Drosophila melanogaster: one gene and its partners. The protein of the gene in region 1 interacts with the protein of each later gene in a pairwise test. Each region holds a gene or a part of one and is shown on either strand. Other genes may lie near its edges.

Region 1 (8,043 bases):
GAATTATAGACATAAATTATTCCGACTGTTTTTTTTTTAAATTATTTTTTACCAATTTTTGTTTAAATGGAGCAATATAATATGAAATACATAAAAACTGTGATAAAAGTTTTAATAATAATTGTTTTTAAACCATTTCATATGGTATTATATGTATTTTAATCAGAACTTTAAAAGTGTTTTTGTCCTCATAAAGTAACTTTAAAAATGTTTTTGTCCTCATAAAGTAATATATATAAAGCATATAACTGTGGACGGCAGTTCACATAGGGGCGTCTACTATTGTGGACAACGGTCCTGTAGTAATGAAAGTCCTATACTAAAAGAAATCTTAAACGTATCGAAAGGTATCGCAAAAACTAATAGGACTTTTAAAAAATTAAATGGTTCAACGGAAAAAAATTTGTGAAGATTTAACAGTTGAAAGTACCAGCTAATGTGATATTATTAAACAAAAAAAATTTAAAAACCTTTTAATATTTAAATTTTTGCCCGACCAAGCTATTGAAACTAGAGGACTGTGCTGTGTCGGCAATAATAAGTTTTTTTTCGACTATCTGATCAAAGGTTTGACGAGATAAAAAACTAGCAAATGCGATGAAACAAAAGAAAAATCATACAATGCGTATTTTTAAGAACACGTTTTTCTGTGGGTAATTAATTTCCACTAGATTAAAATTGTCTAAATTGTTACTTTCCCACTTTCTCAGCATCATCTTATGAAACATATGTTCTACCTATTGATAGGTGTACCGTTCTGAAAGGACACCAACATTATATATATACCCGTTATTAGGACCAATAGCCGAATCGATCTGGTCCTGTGCGTCTGTCCGTCCGTATGAACGTCGAGATTCATAATGCAACACACGCCCTAAATTTCCACGACCACATTTTTGAAAAATTGTTGGATATTGTTTTCATAATTTTATTAATCTGGTAAATTTCTATCGATTTGCCAAACCACTTTTTGCAACGCCCAATCTAACGCCCTAAAGCCGCCCATAAGTGCCGCGACTACATTTTTAAAAATTTTTGGATATTTTTCATAAGTTTATTAGTCAAAAAACCACCCCAAATTGACACGCCCACACTTTTGAAGAATGTTTAGATTTTTCTTCGTTTTATGGTTTGTCTTGCCAGTATTATGGTATATCAAAAACCCCTTCTCAGATCTACAAAACGATCATGCGAAACATTTAAGCAATTTTGAAATTTGTTCCTTAGTTTATTCCCCAATATCTATCGATATCGTAGAAAAATGATGCAATTTTGATTTCGCATTCCCACTGGCACTTGTCCCGAATTGGACTTAAATATGTATATGTAAATATGAATGTTGTGTATTAAAAATCATGGAATTAGAAGAGAAACAAAACTTTAAATTTTATTAAAATGGGTAGCCGCTTCAAAAAAAAAAAAAAAAAACAGCAAAAAGTAAAATAAACAAGAGAGAATGCTATAGTCTAGTTCCCCAAATATCAGATACCCGTTACTCAGGTAGTGATTCGAACGCCAAATTTCAAAATTTTTCTGGGATATCGATAGATATTGGGGAATAAAATGAGAATACATTTAAAAATTGTTCTAAAGACTGGCAGCTTTATGGCGTTGAGTGGTGGTGGCAAAAAGTTTTTTTGGAAAATCGATAGAAATTTAAAATTATGAAATAATATCCAACAATTTTTCAAAAATGTGTGCGTGCCAGTTTTGTGCGGTTTTAGGGCGTTAGAATAGGCGTGGTAAAAAGTTTTGTTGTAAATGGATAGAAATGTACAAGACTAATTAAAAAATGAAAAAATTATTCAAAAATGTGGGCGTGGCAGTTTTGGGCGGTTTAGGGCGTTAGAGTGGGCGTGGAAAACAATTTTTTTCCAAATCGTTAGAAATTTACAAGACTAATAAAAATGTGAAAAAATATGATCACGTTTTTCAAAAGTGTGGGCGTGACAGTTTTCAGCTAGTGTTAGAGTGGGCGTGGCAACATGGCTAAACAAAGTTGCGGTTTTAACTTGGCTAAACTTCTAGATTTTATAGGGTTCCTGAGATCTCGACGTTCAGGCGGACATGGCTAGATTGACCCAGCTATAGATCCTGATCAAGTCGGAAACGCCCGTTGCATACTTTTCAACTAATCTAGTATCTAGAATCGTAGAGTAGAAGCGTATAACAATTACGTTGTTCTCTCTTTTAATATGTTATTTAGACAAAAAAAGCGTTTGGAAATGTCTTTCCATCGAAACTTAACACCATCAAAACAACCGGCGGGCGTGCAAAATGAAGCATGTTATAAATTTAAATTTATATTTTTCCTCGTGTATATTGTAGTCGCTAAAGCGCATCCAGGAGAACGCACACTCTCCTAGAGCACTTAGTCACTTAGTGAAAAACAACAATGAAATCACATGGTCGTGAAAAATGTAAGGAAATCCGAATTCGTAGTTATTAACAATACGCGTATATATATGGATCATACAAACAACTACCGTAGCTGTTTTATAGTGACTAAAAACCATCATTATAACAAACAAATTTAAAATTTAAAACTGTATAACACTTTTTTTAAACAAATCCTTTTCGTTCTTTAAAAAAAAACAAAAAACAATAGCTTCACAATTCAGATTTTTAGTTGATAAGGTCTCAGATAATAATATGTTGTAAGCAAATTGCATTTCATTTTGCAAAATTAATTCATTCTGATATTGCTTTGGCAATACTTTAATATTTTCTCTATGATTGCGCTGTCGTTTGCAGAAATGGGAGAAGTAACAGAAAGAGGGGTATAAAGGGTGGCAGAGGAGCGATTGAGGCAATGTGGGGCCAAAGTAACCTGAGCAGCGACGTCACGTCTCAACATGTGCCGCGATTATGGGACCGAAGCGGTCCAAGCTTTTTCGTTTGCTGGATTTTCGTTGGCCAGTTGAGCGTTATCACGCTCGAAACGCGTGAACAAGCGGGAAACAACATTTCATAAATCTTCAGGGCCCCGGTGTTCGGTTGTGGTCTCGAGTACGAGTCTTCAACTCACCTGTAGGCCAGATTCATGCACTTGAAGAGTTTGGTGAGCGAGGTCTCTATCTCCAGGTGGGAGGTCACCATGCTCATGCTGCTCTCGTCGCCCTCCTGGTCCATGGCGCTGAAGTGGGCCACTGTTTGGGGTACGTAAAGCTGCACGTCACGACATGTGTTGGTTGGCTCGCCCGGCTTGCCCAGACCGGGGTCCTCAGGGTCTAGCATCTTCACCTCGCCGTCATCCTCTAGGTCGTCCTGCGCCTCCTCTGCCTCGAAGTGCGAGACCATAAACTGGCCGGAGTGGATAGACTCCCGCTCCGCCTTGAGCAGGTCTGCCGTAGCCTCGGCGGACCCTGACGCCGAAGCACCTACTCCCGTTTCGTACTGCAATTGCTGGAAGTTTTGGCACAGAGACTGTTGCAGATAAGGCTGCTGGTGCAGCTGAGGCAGCTGGTGCTGCTGGTGGGGAAACATTTGGCTTGTGCGTTGGTATCCCTCGTGTTTATTCAGCATCATTTTCAACAGGTGCCAGGGGATGCCTATGCAAATAGTTTACTGTTGAGCCAAAATTTTGGCGGTTGCAGATTATGTCGATATGGCGAGGGCACATTTAATGGTTTTTTAATGTCTCTCGCGTAGTAAAGGCTTTTAAAAGCTGGTGCTGACCCTTTTTTAATTTGGATGGGGTTTTTCCATCATTTCAAAATATGTAAACGTTCGCAGACTATAAAAAAAAATATGTTTTGTCTTGCCTCGTGGTTAACACATTTATTAATTCTCTCATCTAGTGTTTGTCCTTGTCATTCTATTAACTAAATTACTAAAATAAGCGATTATTTGATAGAGACATAGCACGGTTTTAAGATTTTGATTTGTTTACAATGCCCGACACCTTCAGCTTTTCGTCATCGACACCTGTCCAATTGTTGCTTTTTCCGGAGCGAAGCTTCTCTAATGGCAAACACGCCCCGCTTTTGCCGTTATATGCGTCACACAGCACAATAACAACAATTTTCGCACACACACACACACACACAATCGCGGCGGGGTTGGCTGGGGATACGGACGTCAGAACGAGACGTCAGTGGCCGCTTGTAGCTCCTTGAACAGATAGTGAAGCCCCAACTACTCGTAAACACACGCGGATCTGATGGAAGGCCAACAAGGCGGGCAGAACCAGCGCAGAACGATCGGTTTCATTCCACAAACAGAACTGATCGGAGAACGAAGCTGCGAAACGCACATAACCTGTGCGCCGCACACAACACAACAATGAACAGCTGACGCGAAATCTCTCTCTCTCCCTACCTCGCTAGCGTTGCTTATCAGCTAGGAAAACGTACATACATATGTATATGTATGTATGTACGTGTTCTTCTATATGCGCAGATGTCAGGCAGCAATGTTGTCCCCCTCTCCACTATTACTATATGGAGCTCAGTCGATTTGACTCCTGGCATTCGGCCTTGCCATCCAGAGTATGCACTCCACAAGCAGTTCTGTGTTTGCACTTTTGACCTCTGGCTCAGCGCTGCCTTTGCATTTTGCCTTTTTCCGTTCCCACTCATATACACGCGCATGCACGCGCACCACAATTTCGGTACAACTGCAACTGCCCCCTATAGCAGAAACACGGGCAGTTAGCAGGCACGACGGACTACCAATACCACGCACACACGCGCAACACAAAGCTTCTACGTAGTTTAATCACAATATAGCACACATTAACCTATTGCGGGTAGCGAGCCCTCACCATCCCATCAGGGTTGTCAAGCATTTGGTGGCTCTGATAAACAGCACCCTCTTCCTAAAAATGGCTGAAAGCTGCGAGCCGAAAAACGCAAGAATGAGCATAATCACCCCAAACGTAAAGATTGGGAAGGGCAGCATACGAGGTCATATGTTTCCTGCTCCGAAATTGCAATACAATGAATTTAGGACGGCTATTTCCCGTAATTAGTTTCCAGTTTTATGGAATTGCTATTATATCTTTTTCCGACAGCACCTTGAAACCGCATCAATAAAAAGTTAATGCGTTGAGACTAATAGGAAAAACTAGAATATATACATATATTATACTCAAATGTAATGTGTTTTTTAAACATTGTTGTGCTTAAGTAATTAGGAAAAATTATGTAAAATGGATATTTTCCCTTTATGTTCACTATATTGTTTAAGTTAGAGAATAGAATACCCAGAATAAAATTAGTGATCACACATCAAAAAACTATCGATAAACATTGAATTAGTTCCGGTTAAAATTTAATAATAAGTATTCAAACTGCACACCTTGTTACAAAGTAGTGTAACTGCCTAATTCTTTATCAGCAGACTAGAGGATTTCGCACTCCCATGTTCTTTTGCTTAAATACCTTTCTCGGGCTTATATTAGACATTATACTTTCAGAGAATTTTTTCATTTGTACTGTTAGAAGGTTCTTAATGAAATTGCTGTTCAGTTCAAAATTTTTATATAGTCATTTAATAATACTTTACGAATGATTTTGTGCGCTTTAGATTTGTGAGAAAAAGGGGTGGGATTATTTAGTAGAAAGTAGCAAGGCATTTCCCGATCTGGTAACACTGATTCCAACACTCATTACCGTTCCAAATGAAACGCAAAAAGGTTCAATTGTTATTTTCTCTCACGATTTCGGCATTTATATTAACCTAAAGATGGCTCTATAGTTTGCGCGCAAGCAAAAACAAGCAGCACCTAGGTGCCCAAACACAACAAAATGGAAACGTATAAAAATCAAAAGTGAGTATACACCAAGCTAAATTCTCGCTAATTTCGCAATTTATCACGCACACTGCCGCACTTGGCGTTCTACTCATTCATTGTTGCTGCACGTGTGTTGGTGGCATTGCCTTGTATGGATTTTCAATTGACCGGGCGAACGTGGCAAATCAAAACTCAGTGGGGCATGCCACCTGGTAAAGGTAAAGAAATTGGCTGACGCAATCGCCGACTGGAGTTGAGTAATGTGCGTTGCAAGTCGCCTGCACGTGCGAAAATGAGATGACTCACCACAGTAAGGACTACCCCAAGCGGACACAGCCCAGGACAGAGCTGTTTAAACCGGCTGCGCGATTGCAGCTCTACCCTTGCATTCTATATTTACCTAAAATGTTAAAACATAATTACTATATTACTAAGCTAGAGGGGAGAAAGAAGTTTTCAAAAAGAAAATTAAAATCAAAATTTGCGTGCTTAATCTCAACTTTTTTGGTGGTGGACACGGCAATATTGACTCTTGGTAATAAAATGTTAAAAATACATTTATCTTTCATAGTTTTCAATGAATGTAGTCTACCCTTAGATTAATTTGAATATAAGAGGTACAGTAAAATGATTAAAAGTGTTTTTAAAAGGGTAGCGACTATTCATTATCACTATGACTCGTGATAAGTCATTAAACAGCTGTGGGCTGAACAGCGAACCAATTAATCATAATTAATTCGTTTCTTTAATTCTCAGCGCCATCATGGCATTTTCACAACAACAAAACACACCGCGAAAACAACCATTCTCATTCTTCGGACCGGATTTCATACTCTCAAAACAAAACATATCTTTGACCCCTGATTTGAACTCTGGATATGGACGCGACATTTCACCAAACCATGGAGAGCTTGCAGTTGCCCAAGGAGCTGTACTGGGACCTCAAGATGGAGCCACAATCCCCAACATCGGTTTTGGGCTCCGATCTGTTTCCGCTCACTGACTCAAACGATACGGAGTGGCTGTATGACGATAACTTTGCAAATGGTTTGTGGTGCCTAAAAGTTTTTTTGAAAGGATTTTTAAGGATTTTAATTTAAGGCATTACTCTTATTGGCGATGATGAAGCCTTGACCCTGGAAGAGGTAGCTTCTCTCCAGTTGCTTAGTGATGAGGAGATGGTTGTGGAGATCTTTGACCTGAAAGATGAAGGTAGGTATATTTTAGTGTGCTTACTTTTTTGTACATAATAATAATGTAAAATAATAAATGTTCTTGTAACTGTAGCTGAGCGCAAAATGTAGATAAACCCATTTGCGAGGAGGTCTTAAACCCATAAGAACGACCTCTTAGAGTTCTTATTAAAGCACCCAAATGTTTGCTAGTCTTACATTTTTCAAAGTCCAAAATAACTTTATTTATAACTTGAAGCTCATAATATTAAAGCAAAGACCGTTACTATGATTACTATGATAAGATAATTGGTAGTTATGCCTGATACTCGTAGATCAATGGGAAACTAGGCTCATTGAAATCTAATAAATAAAAGTAAGCTTTTCCGACTCTATTCAATTACTAGCCGAGTCGATTTGGCCATGTCCGAGTGATAATCAAAATCTCAGGAACAACAAGAGCTAGAAAGTTGATATTAAGCAAGCATACTCACGACCAATTATTTGAAAAAGGGATTACATTTCTATTGATATTCCAAAAATATTTGAGAACCTTAAATTGTCCGGATCTTTATATTAGAAGTTTTTAATAAATTGAGTTTTCAATTAGATACAAATATCTTAAATAAATACACCTATGGCAAATCAGTAAAAATGAAATATTTAGATATTTGCAGGAGCTTTGAACGTCTGCAAAATTCCCGCAAAAAAGATCTTTATATAAATATTAAAACTCAACTTTTGTTGTATAGAGCTCTTTCTTAATAATTAGTGTAGATCAAGTGGATTTCATTGTCTGAGTCATTAGGGTCTCGCACATCGCATTTGAACCTAAAATTCCGACAGGTAAAGTTGAGGAACCGGTTTCAAGTTTGCTTTGTTTTCGTTAGCGTATGTTTCTGGTATTTTGGCCCTCTTTAGCTTGAGCATGAGCGTGTTTTTGTATTATGGTTTTCACCGTGCATTTTATTATTGTTTATCAACGGAGCGCCAAGCAAGCGCTGTAATGGCCAATTTCCAGGCCACAACAAAGACTCAGATCAAGCGAGAGCAATGAAATCAGTTTTTGATCGGTTTTTTGCGTACTTGATCACGCGTTAAGCGAGTGATCGGCTGGACTCTCTCTTCTCTCTG
Region 2 (6,775 bases), on another chromosome or scaffold:
GCAAATAAGAGCTTTCACATATAATTTTGTTTTAATTTGATTTAGAGGTTTGGAAGTTTTACCCACAGTATTATTAATGCTAGAAATTTTGTTTATAAACTTAGGATATCGCTTAGAAAATAAATGAAGCTTGCGCCTTAACAGCACGCTGTTATCATAACAGCACAATTGGATATTTTAGCGTCTTGCTTGTGATCGGTGCAGCCACACTATTTTCTTTCTTTTGGCTTTCGTTTCCGGCGAGGTACGTGCAAGAAATTGATGCTCCACGTTTTTAGCTTAAATTAATGTCCAATTCTCTATTTTAGCGTTGATTAATACATTCAACAGAAGAAATGGTGGGTTACCGATAAAAGTGCGGCAATGATTCCAGCAGGAAACTGACAAATAACCTAAAACGCCAACTGTGGCTCAGCCCACGTGCATTGCGAAGCTTCCTGGCGACGGAATGAAATAAAAACAAATTTGTGTGGGCGGCATCTAGTTTGTGAAGCTAAAATACCATGAAATAAGCAGTTTAACTGATCGGTTCCATGGATATGTAGTAAACATACGCTCGAATGCCGACCAATTGTTTTTCCGATCATAAACACCAGTTCTAATACGTGTGTTTCGTTTGCAGGGTATTGATATCAACCACAAGTACGATCGCAAGGTTCGCAGAACCGAGCCCAAATCCCAGGATGTGTACCTGCGCCTGCTGGTCAAGGTGAGGCTTTCGATGGCGTTGACTACCAGCTGAATGTGGAGATTAATCTGTTTTTTTTTCTTTGTTTGCCCCCGCAGCTGTACCGCTTCCTTCAGCGCCGCACCAACAAGAAGTTCAACCGCATCATCCTGAAGCGTTTGTTCATGAGCAAGATCAACAGGCCGCCGCTATCGCTTCAGCGCATCGCTCGCTTCTTCAAGGCCGCCAACCAGCCGGAGTCTACCATCGTGGTCGTCGGCACCGTCACCGACGATGCCCGCCTCCTGGTGGTGCCCAAGCTCACCGTGTGCGCCCTGCACGTCACGCAGACCGCCAGGGAGCGCATCCTGAAGGCCGGCGGTGAGGTCCTGACCTTCGATCAACTGGCTCTCCGATCGCCCACCGGCAAGAACACGCTGCTGCTGCAGGGCAGGCGTACCGCCCGCACCGCCTGCAAGCACTTCGGCAAGGCTCCCGGTGTGCCCCACTCGCACACCCGCCCCTATGTCCGCTCTAAGGGACGCAAGTTCGAGCGTGCTCGTGGTCGTCGCTCCAGCTGCGGCTACAAGAAGTAAGCGACTGGCTGACTGGACTGGATTCGGCATCCTTTTGGTTAAGATAATGATTTTTCTCGCCATCGCACGGCAATAAAAGAGTTTTATTCCAAAAGGTGAAAAAGAAAGTCCTTAATCTGTGCGGTAATCGGTTGTACTAGTGAAGGTGTGTGCTCCAGTAGTTAATAATCGGCTGATCGTGCGGCTGCACGCCAAGCACCTTCTTAAGTTTGCCCTGCACGCTGGTGGATTTGGCATGGTTGAGGCAGGTCACTTTGCTGTAGATGGAATTCAATTGAGTTCGGATCTGTGCAGCAAAATAGGACGGCTACTCACTTTTTCCACTCTTCGATGAGCACCTTGGTCTGCTTGTTCAGCACGAGTTCTGTGAAGTTTTTCTCCTCCACCGCCTTTAAAAGTTTCACCATAAGATCTGGCACTAAAGTGGGAGAATCAATAGAATCAATATCAATATCCCCGACTCGTTTTTATCAGTGAAAGCGGGAACGGATTGGATGTGAAGCTTACATTTTCGTGGCAGCTCTCCTGGCCATTTGACCGACACCTCGTGTCCGTTGACGTGTTTGTCCAGAAAATCGATCCGATAAACGGAGCTACTGGCCATTGGCACGGCTATGTCATTGGACACGGATATGATTTTGTACTCGGAGCTGATGGAGTGTTGATGTTGGGCATCGATTCGCATTAGATTGTGCATGGGCTCGGGCAGGAGTTTCTTCAGGCAGACCATGAAACGGAAGGTCTTTCTGGGATCACCTCTGACCACAATCTTCACCCCAGTCAAGGCACAATAGCAGACCGTGGCAAACTCCTCCTTGCGGACGACACTCTTGAGATGGCGCAACGAGAAGAACTCCTCCAGATCGGGATCGTCGATGCTCTCTATCATTGGCAGTGTGGAACTGTTGTAGGTGAGTCGCTGTGCGGGAGGACGGCCACTACTTTGTGGCGGTAGCCACGGTAGGTTGCCGAAGGTCACGTGCTCGGTGAGGAAGCGGGATCCGGCTAGCAGGAGCCACGAGAAGTGTGAGTGCAACTGGGCGAAGATGTGCTCCTCGCCTGTTAGCTCCAGCAAGGCACGGGAAGTGGGCATCAGGAACTGAGCGCCGGACAGACGCCTCTGTCGCTCTGAGTACGTCTGCTCCTCCGTCTCCTTGGTCTTTTTGGCAGCTGCCTGCAGCTCCGACGACACCTTCTTCAGGTGCTCCGCCAGAAAGGGCTTGATGTTAAGCAGGAAATACTTGTCCTTCATCAGCACAATGATGGAGAACAGCTGCGAGTAGCCGCGGGCCTGCAGGTCGCTCACTCGGAAGGTGTGACTCAGGATGTGACCCCTGGACGAATCGCCAAAGAACACGAACTCGCCATCCTTGCTGGCATCCGTACCATTGCTCAGACTGAGCACCGCCGCCTGCTTGACCAGACTGGCCACCTCCGGCAGCACCGCCACCTTGGTGCTGACGAATGTGGCCCCGCTTTCCGTGTCCCTGCTGTAGATCGCATTGTTATTCTTGCCCATGGAGTAATTGCAGGCGGAGCAGGTCTTTTGCGTCTGCTGTTCCAGTGACAGGTCCTCCAGCTTGGTGTCCCTCAGTGTCTGGGTGCAGAAGATGGCGCAGGGACCGTGCGCCTCGCAAAAGTGGCACAGCGCTATCACGGCGTTCATCGCTGCTCTACAGTTTCCTTTATATCCTTGGTTATGTTATTGTTTATTTTGTTAGTTAATAATACTAGAGTGACCAGTTGCGTACATTCACTGAAATACCAGAAATGGCGGTAAGAACATAGAAAACATTGCAGGGATTTCTTAAGCGATATTTTAAATTTTGCGGGAATATACATTTTATTCTTGTTTTGTATATGTAAAATATAAATACTAAACTATAAATCAATGTGCTATGACGACATAATATTAAATAAATACACATGACAATAAATTCCTTATGTTAATAGAAGTTCAAATTAAGAAAGAATTTTTGAATTGTGTTTTTAAGATATGTAGAAATGTATCTGTAATTATTTACCCAATTAATTATGCAGAACGAAAATGTAAAGCAGATCTGGATGTCTTTATAACCCAATTTGGATGCTAATTGCTTGAGTCCATAATGCTTTAATTTTCAGCATCACAAATGGGTATCGATTCCAGTGAGTTTCATTCTCGAAAGTTATTGTGCCACCTACAGACGTTTTTCCACACAATGCAACTGGTTTCTTGGATATATTTATTGGCCTGTTCATTACCTGTGGTTAGGAGTGCGTATATGTTAGTAGCTGCTCCAGTTGGCCAAAATATTACGGAGTATATGCATGCGCGCCAGAAGAGGCATCAGTTGATCTACCGGAATGGAGGAACCATCCGTTTGGTAGTGGGTCCCGTGCTGTCCACTCAGCTCGAGGATCCCGTGGTCTGGCGCAGTTTGGTCTACTACTATGTGCTGCATTTCGGGGCATTTACCCTGCCATCGGCACCACTATATCCCTGGGACAAATGGGAGACGATATATGCGCGTTCGTTGCAGGAGAAGATCAGGAGCTTGGATGAGACGCACGAGGACGACACTCGCCTGTTCGTATATGCCGCCTTGGAGAACTATATGGACCAAGTGAGTGGATCTCCTGGTCGAGGTCGTCACTGTTTGCTGCGAGGGATCTGTGAAAATGCGCAGGTGCATCACCATGTGGGCATCATGGCGGAGCTACTAGTCGTTCTACTCACGTAAGTTGCAGTTTTAGAATGCTATTACTTGAATGGAAGAATTATAAATCTATATAAACTTAATAGACCTGGTAAAACGCGCTTGGATGTGGCCTACAAGGAGGCTTTAGCAGCTGGCCAGGCTGGAATCGATTGCCTAGCTCGCTATTCGGATTGTCCAAGGGGTGAAAGTGTGCTGGATGCATATGCTCTGGATGTGGAGTATTGAAAAGGGTTTTTTTTTAAACTGATGTTACGACTTGAATAAATCAAGTTAATTCAATGATTACCACTGATAGTGCTTTTCAGTAAGATCAACTGGAATCACTGTCAACTTTCGAGTATATCTGCTCACATGAACAATCTAGTTACTCCGTTGAATTTTTAACACTAATTGCAAGTGATTTGCGCCCTTGTCGTCGCCACGCCCCCTTTAACTCCACCGACTGGAGGATGTCGCCTTTGGTAAACCAGAAACACGAGTGCATCCATGCCAACATCCTACCCCAGAATCTAGGCGAAAAATGCGTTAACATTAATGGCTTGTGGCTGGTGCAAGTTGGGCTTGGAAAGCGGTGCAGCGAAAGCCAACACACGACCGCCATTTTGTCAACAATGGCGTCAATTAAATGGAAAATGCGGCACCACCAACAGCCGCCGCGCGGCAAGAACGCCGGCAGCAGCAACGAAAGACAATAAATGCGTCTTAAGTGGCACATTAGGCTCGCAGACGGTGCCAAGCGGATGGAATGGGCTTTCCAACAGGGTGCAGCAGATACTATTTTAGTCAGAGATTTCCCTAGAATAACTAACTAATTTTGAATCGTTGAATTCAAAGAAATAAATAAAAGTATATTAAGTTATATTTTTACTTTGTCTACTTCGATAGTATGTTAAATATTACTTTTTTATTCCTATCACATAAAAATATAATTTCCATTCTAGTATAAATATATATAAAAATATAAATTTAGCTTCAAATATATTTTAATGAATGTTCTCTATTGTGACGAATGAAATGATATAAATATTTGTATATATAGGTGGAATAAAGTAAATCTGTGAATCGTATTTGTACATTATAAATTCATATCTTCGTTTATTTTATTTGTCTTATCAATTATTAATTTTACTATTATTCATTTATGCACCCTGTTCAGAATCCTCAGCTGCGCCTCGTGTGCACAGCTAATTCAAATGCGATTATGACAACGCGAACAACGAAGGAGCTAAGCGGCGTAGAAGGCGAGGGGAGTGCGGTGAAAGCGGAGAAAGTGGGGCGAAGGAACCTGCCAGAGTGCAGTTGGCGCAGCAAAGAAGTGGGGGGGGAGGAAGGTAGGGGAAGGGGGCGGTGGCTTGGGGGGAATGCCTGCACAACTTTGCGGTGTTTGAACTTGTGATGGTGCAGTGGAATAGGTAACTAATGTCTGCGGCTGTCATGTTTATGCGGCAGCCATATCGTAAATTCAAAAATATCAACTAAATATTAAGAAAACAAAGCGGGAAAATAATTTAAAGTAAGCTTAAATAACTACAAAATGATCGAGTTAGTTACATAGCTTTCGAGAAATGTTCTTACGGTGCGTATGATTAATATTATTATATATTTCTATTATTTGTTATTTTTTTTATAGGTGAAATTATTCAGTTATATAATTTTAGTTTTCCATTTTCGTGTTAGCAATAATATTATCTTTTATTTATATTTAATTCCAACACTTTAAATGGCCCACAATGCGTTGTTTTTAGAGCAAGACACCCGCATAAACGCTTCAGCATGGTGGGTTGCCTGCATCGATGTGCACACATGCTCATCCTGGAGCCGAGTCAACACAGTTTCCTGCCCCCTCAGACATGCTTCCGTGCATTTCCGCCCCAAATTATGCAGCAAGAACAAGCGGAATCCGACATCAGGACAAGAACCATTAGACATGCACTTTGATTTGGTTGAAAACTTTATTGCGGATCCCCATTCTCTTCCGTACTCGACAGCAATCCGCAGCAGTAGCTGTAGCAGGAGCAGCAGTAAATCAATCATCTTCCACAATCAAAAGCCCGTCGAGGAAGTTGTGTCCCCGAGGACAGGCACTGTACAGGCCCAAGCAATTGGCTCCAGCTCTTCCCGCGGCGTAGGCATCATGGTAGTCATTGTCCAGATCCGCTTTGCCGGGACTAAAATGATTGGCAGATTAAAGTAGCATTTATGGGGATTCGTGTAAGTGTTTGAAAATGAATGAGAAATGATGAGGGAGCACTTAATATTTATCGTATTCCTTAAACTTGAAGACTCTTTTCTTTTACCTGAGTACAATATCCATAATTTCCGAGAACACACCGATATGATGATGGATCTGAGCATTCTCGCATATGGAGCGCAGCAGACATTGTCTGCCCATGGAGCGGTCATTGTTCCTCCTGCCCATATACTCCTCCAGTGCAGTGTAGACCAAGAGCCTGGCATCGTCCGCATATCGCACTCCGCCATTGGCCACATGGCGCTCAATATTCCTTCGCATTTGCATCAAGGAACGAGCGAAGGTGCCTTCCCACTTATCCCACGGCCAGATGGGTGATGTGGGCAGGGAATAGGAACCACCTTGGAGCGTGTAGGAGAGCACACAGGAACGGAAGGTCACCTTGTCCCCCAAGGGTATGGGCATCGAGGGACCAATACTAAACTTCAAAGACCCACTATTCTGGTAGATCAGCCAGCGCTTCTGTCGATGTCCCATGAATTCCGTGAGATTTCGGGATGAATCTCCCCGAGATGGCAGGCTGAGCATGGCCACCGCCAAGAGCAGACCCGTTGTCCAC
Region 3 (7,878 bases), on another chromosome or scaffold:
ACCTTGAAGAGTTGATATCTGTGGAGTCACAAAATATATACATAAAAAATGATAAAACAATCAAATTTTATATTTAACAGATTCATCTATACTTAAGGGTATTGTTTCACTTTAATTAATTTTAAGTGGCCTTTTAATTACTCACACAGTTTTTAATTATACAAATGAAGTATTATATGTTTTTAATTGTTTTTGAGCCAAAGTTCACGAAACGGTGTATATTATATTATAGTGAATTTCAGTCGTTTATTAATATTGATTTATGTCTAAGTTAGTCCGTCTAACTAACAATATTTATATATATTTTACCCTTAAAAGTAAATGTAGCTGCACTATCTGGGTCAATTGGTTGCAGGCTTTTAATAACCCAGTCGTGCTATCGTAAAAACGTTTACACATTTCAACATTTCTAAATAATTATTTAGCAAAATGTTAATTTACGACCTGCTGCAGCAAACACGTGTATAATGACTCCAACGTCGCCATGCCAGACTCGTAAACCCCGCTCTCCAACGGATCCATTATAATAATACCTCTATATGGAACCAGAACCCAGACGGTTTCCATGCAAACACGCCAAATCACAGTGTGTTTAATGAAGGTTTGATTTGCTGCCTGTGTGTGTTAGTGCCTCAATTTGCAACGACATATGCTCAAAAAAATTCAAAAAAAATTTAGGTATTTTCAAGTACCAAGAATGAATTATATATATCTATAAAAAAAATATTTTTTTTTCCTGAAAAAAGAGCAACAATTATTTTGTTTACTTTCCGATTGCTGCTCCGCTTCCGATATTTATTCTGCACAATTTGCTTTATTTGCACATCTATGCAGTCTGTGTTTTGCTTCTCCTACTTGTATTTTTTGTTCTTCGGATGCAAAATAAAGCCATGCTAGTGTGTGTGTGACTCATTGATTCGATGTGTGAATGTGTGTGCGATGCTTTAAATTGCTATTTATAAACCAGCAAGAGCTGTGTCTTCGACTCAGTTGGGTTTTGCTTAGCAATTTCTGGCGCTCTCTGAGGGCTCATTCATCCATCGTAGCGCCACGGCGTATCTATGTGAGTGCGCTGCACTGGTGTGTGTCGGTGTGTGTTTTTGATTGTACCAAGTGTGTGTGAGGCAGTAGCCCAATCACACAGATACACACACTGGCAAGGGGAGACCGCCGGTGCACGTGGTAGCGAAACGTGATAATACGAAATACAACAACTGACAACAAAACAAACAGAAAACCTGACAACGCCGCTGTCGCTGCCTCTGCTGTCGTCGCGGTCGACGTCGTTCTCTGTCCATGTCGACGTTGGCAGATTTTCCCGGATTGGTTCCCTATTCTCGGCTTCACTGGCATATAAGCCTGGCCAATAGCAAAGCTCTGCCGCACATCCTTCTGTTATTGGATCCCGAAGCAAACTTCGTTTTTTCCTTCGCTTCGGAGCTTCGGATGACTTGTTGCTTTCCAAAAATAGTCACTGGCTGCACGGGGCGTATACTCGATATTCCCAGAATTGACCCGCCTGGGTAAAACAGGTGACTGAAGTTCGCTCTACCACATGGTCCATGGTTATGCCAATTGATGGGTTTTCAGGGCTGACTGGGTTTCTCAAATGCAAAAAAAAAAGAGTTTTGTTTAACCGAAGAATAGCACAAGGCTGAAAAAAGGTGGGCGACTTAACAAGTTTAACAAGTAGAAAAATGGCGAGGATATTCTTGGAATTCTTTTGAATTGGTTTAACGAAAGATGGAACCTTACAAATTGAATAAGTCTTATATATTTTATTTATTTTATATATTTCTTTATTTATATATTTCTTAAATAATCCATGTAATTGTAATTCAGTTTATTTGCATTTTTATCAGAAATGTGTTTTTATATTTTATCTCAAATTGCTTACTGCTCTGATTCATAGTTATAAAATCTTCGATGATCATTGGGTAAGTATTGAGTGTATTATACAAAACTTCTAAGAAAATTTACCGGACCTATGCCAACAGAGAGCAATTATTATAATTATTTAAACTTGATTAAGCCCTCGAATAGTTTGAATACTTTTTGAAATTTCCAAGAAAAACGGCGACCTACGGCAATAGTTTAGCGCCTTCGATAGAATGCAGATTAAGTATACGCTCCGTTGCAGCTACTACGTCGTTTCATTGGGTTTTCGCCCAGAGTGTTAAGCACTCAGCTTCAGACCCCCCCCCCCCACCACTCTGCCCCATCGGATCTACTTACTGGGAATGACGCAGCGGTAATTAGTTGGTGGCACAGAGGCAATCCTTTGGAGCACATTACGCATACGTCACGTGTTGCAGACGCACCAGTGCCGAATTAACCGAATATTGGCACGGCAATTGGCCAATCGGCCACGCACTCCAGCTGATGTGTAAAGTCTAGTGGCCATAGGTACACCCGTTACAGGGGGACAGACATAGCGCTCTATTGCGAATCGACTGGAAACTTTTGAGTTGCATTCGTATCTCTATTTGTCACCCTATCGGTACGTGTATCTTTGAGTGCGCTTGTCGTTCAACGTGCACTCTCATTCTCTCTGTCGCTCTCTCTCAATTAATTTGCGTATGTGTGTGTGCCCGGTGTGTCCGCAACACGTGCTTAGAACTGTGCTAGACAGTGGGCTTTGGGTCATATTGAAATCCGCGTGACTTGGCCGCAGCAGCGCTCAGCGCCTCAGCGGGCGTCGCAGTTCCAGTCCCCCAAGTATATACAAATAACTACAGCTATGTCCAAGATAATAGCAATCATTTAAGAGCAAGAAAAAAATGTTTTAAAATAATAAATTTTGTTACTAGAATATTATAAGTAATGTTGAAATAACTGAGATAAAACAAAGTTGCTTTAAAAAAAAATATTATTAAGTTCTTGATAGATAATTAGATATAAGAAGATAACATAGGTTTAGTCCTAAGTGAATTATAATTTATAATAGATTTGATACTAAATCTGAGTCGAAGTACTCGTATATGAACACTGTTTAATATATACCAAGAACTGTACTAAAAATACCTATGGCACTTGAATTGATTAATATAGTAGTAATGCTAATCATTTTCCCAGTGCTGTATGTAAAAATATTTGTTGTACATGTACAAATATTTTGCGCTACCAACATTTGATAAAAAAAAGCCAGTTAAACAATTATCAAAGTAGGAGAGGGGTTACTGTTTTCGGACCTCCGCCCTTTACGTAAGCCGACTTACTTGCAGAAAATTGCAATTTTTAGCTGGCTGAGAGAGCGGTAGCGGCGACTGCGACGTCGACTGCAGCGACGACTGCAGCGGCGGCAGAGGAAAAGCAGAGACGGACATTGAGACCGAGAAAATTACTCGGCCGGCATTCTGTCGCATCGCGTTCTCATGTGAAAATCGTCGCAGCTCGTTCCGTGTTTTCGCCACTCGAGCGGGAAAATCAAAAAATATTTCTACGCTCAACAAAATAAATTAATTGAAATTGATTTTTCAAGCAACAGAAATAGTTCTAGAAGAACTATAAATCGAGGAAGTCATTTTTGTTTTATCAAATTTCAAGTGCAATGGGTTCATTGTGAAATCAATCTAAAGTGTGTGTGTGTGTGTCATTCGAATAATTACTATTATTAAAAAAGAAATAAATACGCAGAAAGAGAGAGAGAGATCGAACGAGGCAGAGTGAAAGAGAGAGATAGAGAAAAAAGCGAGAGATCCGGAGATCTCTCGAGAATCTTTAAACAACAGCGCTAAAGTTACGGATCTAATTTCAAACAGTTTAATTTACTTTTAATTTTTCTACAAAACAACAAACTTCAAAAAGAAAAATACGAACCAGCAAAACTCAAAGCAAAAAACGATCTCATATCCAAGCGCAGCAACAAATTCTGAGAATAAGAAAAGGTATTCAACAAAAGGCTGAAAGGAAGAAGAGTTATTCATCAATGAAAAGGATAATTCAATTGATTTGGAAAATAATAATTTATTTGTTTTGATTTATATATAGAAAATATTCCAAATTTACGTTGAAATAATGTTAAAAAAAAAAAAACATTGGAAGCCTTTGACTCGGTTGATTTGATATACAGTTTAATTGGCAAATAATTATTAGTTTGTCTCGTTTTAAAAGTGAAGCAAAAACAATAAATGACCGTGAATGTTTTGATTGCAAAAATTCCATAAAGAACACGGAAAGCCTTTGTACCTATTGATTCCACTTTAAGATTTCTATAGCGTCACAAAAATCTTATTATACAAAATTGATTGAACTAAAAGAAAGCGCAAACTATACAACTATACAATGCCTTTTCTTATTCCTTATCATCATGATCATCAATAAAAACTAATGGAAAACTAAATAAAAATCATACAAAAATAGACGAAAACAAAGTGCATTCCCTGACCACACGAAAACAAGCGCATTCATTATCAGTTGCTATCAAAATCGCTTCCCCATCATACTCAATACTCACTAATAAAACTGAAAAACTGAATCATTCCCAACATTTTTCACCCACCTATCACCTGTTCATTAGCAACAACGAATTGGCTATCAATTGACTGGCAAATAAAAAACCAGCAACATACCAAAGTGCTCAAACACTAATCTGGGTTTTTCAAAAACAAAAGCACAATATTTTTTTCAGATAACACAGACAAGCGTTTATGTTAAAAACAAAAAAACTAAAGTGAACCCAAGTGTAAAGACAATGCGCACAACTTTTGGCCGTGGCCCAAAGTTTATACTGCTGACCAGCAAATTTAATCACGTTCAGCACAAGGAGGTGATCACCTAGGATCATCAGAAAACAGTGATTAACCGTAACCAGTGAAGGATAACCCAGTGAATAACGTACCCAGTTGTTGAAACCAGTGATCATGTCGTCGGATACGAATTCGTGTACTAGTTTCTTTGCCCAGGAGCACGCGAATGCCACATTGTCGCAGTATTTCCAGCAGCTTAACTCGCACGTTGCTGCTGCAGCGGCGGGCAATAGCGGTGGCAACAGCAGCAGCAGCAACAACAACAACAGCAGCGGCAACAACAGCAGCAGCGGCAACAGCGACAGCGGAAATGATGGCAGCATGACAGGATCATCGGGAACCATGGACAACCATCGCAGCAGTGTTAGCAGCAATGATTCGGGCAAGAGTAGCGCCACAGGAGGCGGCGGGGCAGGTGCCACCAGCAACAATGGCGTGAATGCCTGGGCCTTGCAGCAGCAGCAACAAACCGCCGCCCTGCACCATCAGCAACAGCAGCAGCATCAACAGCAGCAGCAACACCAACAGCACCTACAGCAACACCATCAAGCGCACCATCAGCATGTCCTGCAGCAGCAGCAGCAGCAGCAACAGCAGCACTCCCAGCATCAGCATCAGCAGCAACATCACGGCCACCCGTTGCATCCGCATCATACACACCAGCAGCAACAACAACAACAACAGCAGCAGCAGCCGCCGCCGCAACACCACCAGCAGCAGCAACAGCAGCACGCACAGCAGCAGCAGCAGCAGCATCATGCCGCCCAGCTGGCACATACACTGTCATCGGCCGCCGTTGCTGCTGCAGCCGGGAATACCGGTGGCAACACCAACCCCCACTCCATTTTCGGCACCGGCAACTTCCACTACAAGACGAACAACTCGTGGACGCTGCCCACGCTAACGTACCAGAGGATTTACCAGGAGAATCCCCATTACCAGCGCAACTCCTTCATGGATCCGCAGAGTAATGCCGCTGCAGCTGCAGCAGCTGCTGCTGCCAGTTGCAATGCTGCCGCTGTTGCGGCAGCCGCTGCAGTTGCAAGTGGCAACCAGGGATCGAATGGGAATGCCAGTGGCAATGGTAATGCTGTTGTGGCGGCAACTGGTAATGGAAATGGTGGAAATCCCGGCCAGAATAACAACAACAATAACGGCAACAATAGTGGCAATAGCAACAATAACAGCAACAACAATGTGTCCTCCGTGCAACATGTGGCAAATGCCGTCGCAGCGGCAGTGATCGCCAATGAGCATCACAACCATTTGAACAGCTTGAAAGCGCGATTTCAGCCAGCCAGCTCAGGTGAGGTGAAAAACTTGAGGAAAAAAGGGGGGGAAATTGTTGGAAAATATATATTGGATATATAGTAATGACCTTAAATGGTTTGTTAACTATAGAAAAATGGAAAAGTGCTACTTAACAGCTGTACTGTGCATTCGTATATATATATAAACTTATGTATATATCTTTCTACCGCTTAGATACTTCAACTTTTCTTGGTTGTCTTAAACATTAGTTGTATACAGTACTCTGAATAACTAAATTGTTTTGAGAACACAAAAAGCACACTTAAAGGGAGAAAAACCAAAAACAACTGATAAAGTGTATGACTAGTTCTGAGGATTTCCATTCTATATTCGCCCAGGCTGCATTAGAAAATGAGTGTTCGTTCCGTTGGGAAGTCTGGATATATATACTCTTACATACATATGTATGTATGTGCATGGTAACCCAGTGCGATATGTCTGTAGAACCTCTATCTGCATCCCGGCCACTGGGACTGATATCATCCGACGTCAGCGGCCGAGAACTTTGCGCATTGCGAGCTTGTAAAGCGCAAAAGTCAAGAAAGCTTGCCGCGCACACGTGAGCTCAGCTGAACTATATAGTATAGTTTATATGCATATAGTAATGTAGCCCGTATATACAATACTCACTGACGTCGCCGACGGTTCGAATTGAATAGGAAATGGAATTCAAAATGTAGATACATTTGCAAATGTATCTTTGCAACGAGGAATCGCCAAGTATATTGGCTCGCTGCCTACCACAAGGGTTATTTCATTATTTTCACCAATTTTCTTCGTGTTATAGATAAACAATTATATTACTTATTTTTCGACCTACGCCAAATTGCGTTGCCAGTGAATTAACTAAATTTAGTTGGTATATAGCAGAGTATTGTTTACAAAAACACCTATATCTTATCAGTTGATGACTCTCTTAGTAGCTGGCCCATAGGAATTCTCATTATGCATGGCAATTAGAACTGGAAAATTACTTTATATGCCGTTAAATTTTCCATTTAATAATCATGAAAACGATCCACATGGCTGGCATTTAGTTGGCTGGCCTAAAAGGGTTTCAATTCAACCAGTTTTGTGTGTGTGTTTTTTTTGGCACATCCTTTCACCTTTTTTGATCTACTTTGTCAATGCATTTGGCACAAATCCTTTCAAAAATCGCGGCTTAGCTGCCACCAATTTTCATGGGTTTTTCCGTTTTCCTTTTTTTTTTAACTGACCTCAGTTGGTCAACGTTGGGGAAATACATTTGGTTTGATTAGATTTCGGAATTAGGCTGATGAGATTTTTATGGCTGACGATATGGAAATGCATATGGCAAATGAGATGTGGGTGTTCTATCATCTCTCCCTCTAGATTGTTTGTTGTATTTCGCTGGGGTTGGTGCAAATTTCGCTATTGAATATACCGAAAATTACCTTTTAAGGCAGCATGTATAATAATTTGTATGAATTTCGTTTTAATGTGTGGGAAGAGTGGGGAAAGCTAAAATGGATAAATGTCAGTTGGCTCTGTGGGTGGTCACCCCTTTACCCCATGCATGGGAAATTTCCGACACCCTTGACAATACCAAATATCTACGTACTATTATAAAAATGCAATTTTGCTTTTTTTTTCCTTATTGTTGAAAAAACATTGTTCTAATTCAATTTTCACTCTCTTTTATTTACAGGTAAGCATCGAAACTCAATATTATCGACTTTTTTGTGAGTACAAGTAATTTTGTGGTTTGCTAAAACTGTTAATGGTAAGCTTTTGTCTTGTTTCATTTACTAACAATCATTATCTAAAGGGGATATTAGAATGAAGAAAAAAAAACCTT

The links. The genes of interacting proteins can lie anywhere in the genome.
Region 2: the proteins of Mondo (region 1) and CG14829 interact in a two-hybrid assay, tested with the Drosophila melanogaster proteins (one large-scale study listed by BioGRID).
Region 3: the proteins of Mondo (region 1) and Pdp1 interact in a two-hybrid assay, tested with the Drosophila melanogaster proteins (one large-scale study listed by BioGRID).

Annotation. Positions count from the first base shown.
Region 1 is NT_033779.5:21,305,260-21,313,302, forward strand, and holds the start of Mondo (mondo), read right to left. Parts: upstream 4,792-8,043; 5' UTR 4,680-4,791; exon of another isoform or gene 3,680-4,679; 5' UTR 3,529-3,679; coding exon 3,029-3,528; intron 1-3,028. Other genes in the region: crc (cryptocephal), read left to right, coding at 6,616-6,784, 6,839-6,949.
Region 2 is NT_037436.4:7,234,789-7,241,563, reverse strand, and holds CG14829 (uncharacterized protein), read left to right. Parts: upstream 1-3,441; 5' UTR 3,442-3,464; coding exon 3,465-3,982; intron 3,983-4,048; coding exon 4,049-4,190; 3' UTR 4,191-4,764; downstream 4,765-6,775. Other genes in the region: RpL18 (ribosomal protein L18), read left to right, coding at 336-338, 623-709, 787-1,263; BHD (Birt-Hogg-Dube), read right to left, coding at 1,400-1,520, 1,579-1,681, 1,771-2,929; CG14826 (uncharacterized protein), read right to left, coding at 5,992-6,133, 6,263-6,775.
Region 3 is NT_037436.4:7,828,563-7,836,440, reverse strand, and holds the start of Pdp1 (PAR-domain protein 1), read left to right. Parts: upstream 1-3,367; 5' UTR 3,368-3,887; intron 3,888-4,613; 5' UTR 4,614-4,862; coding exon 4,863-6,054; intron 6,055-7,878.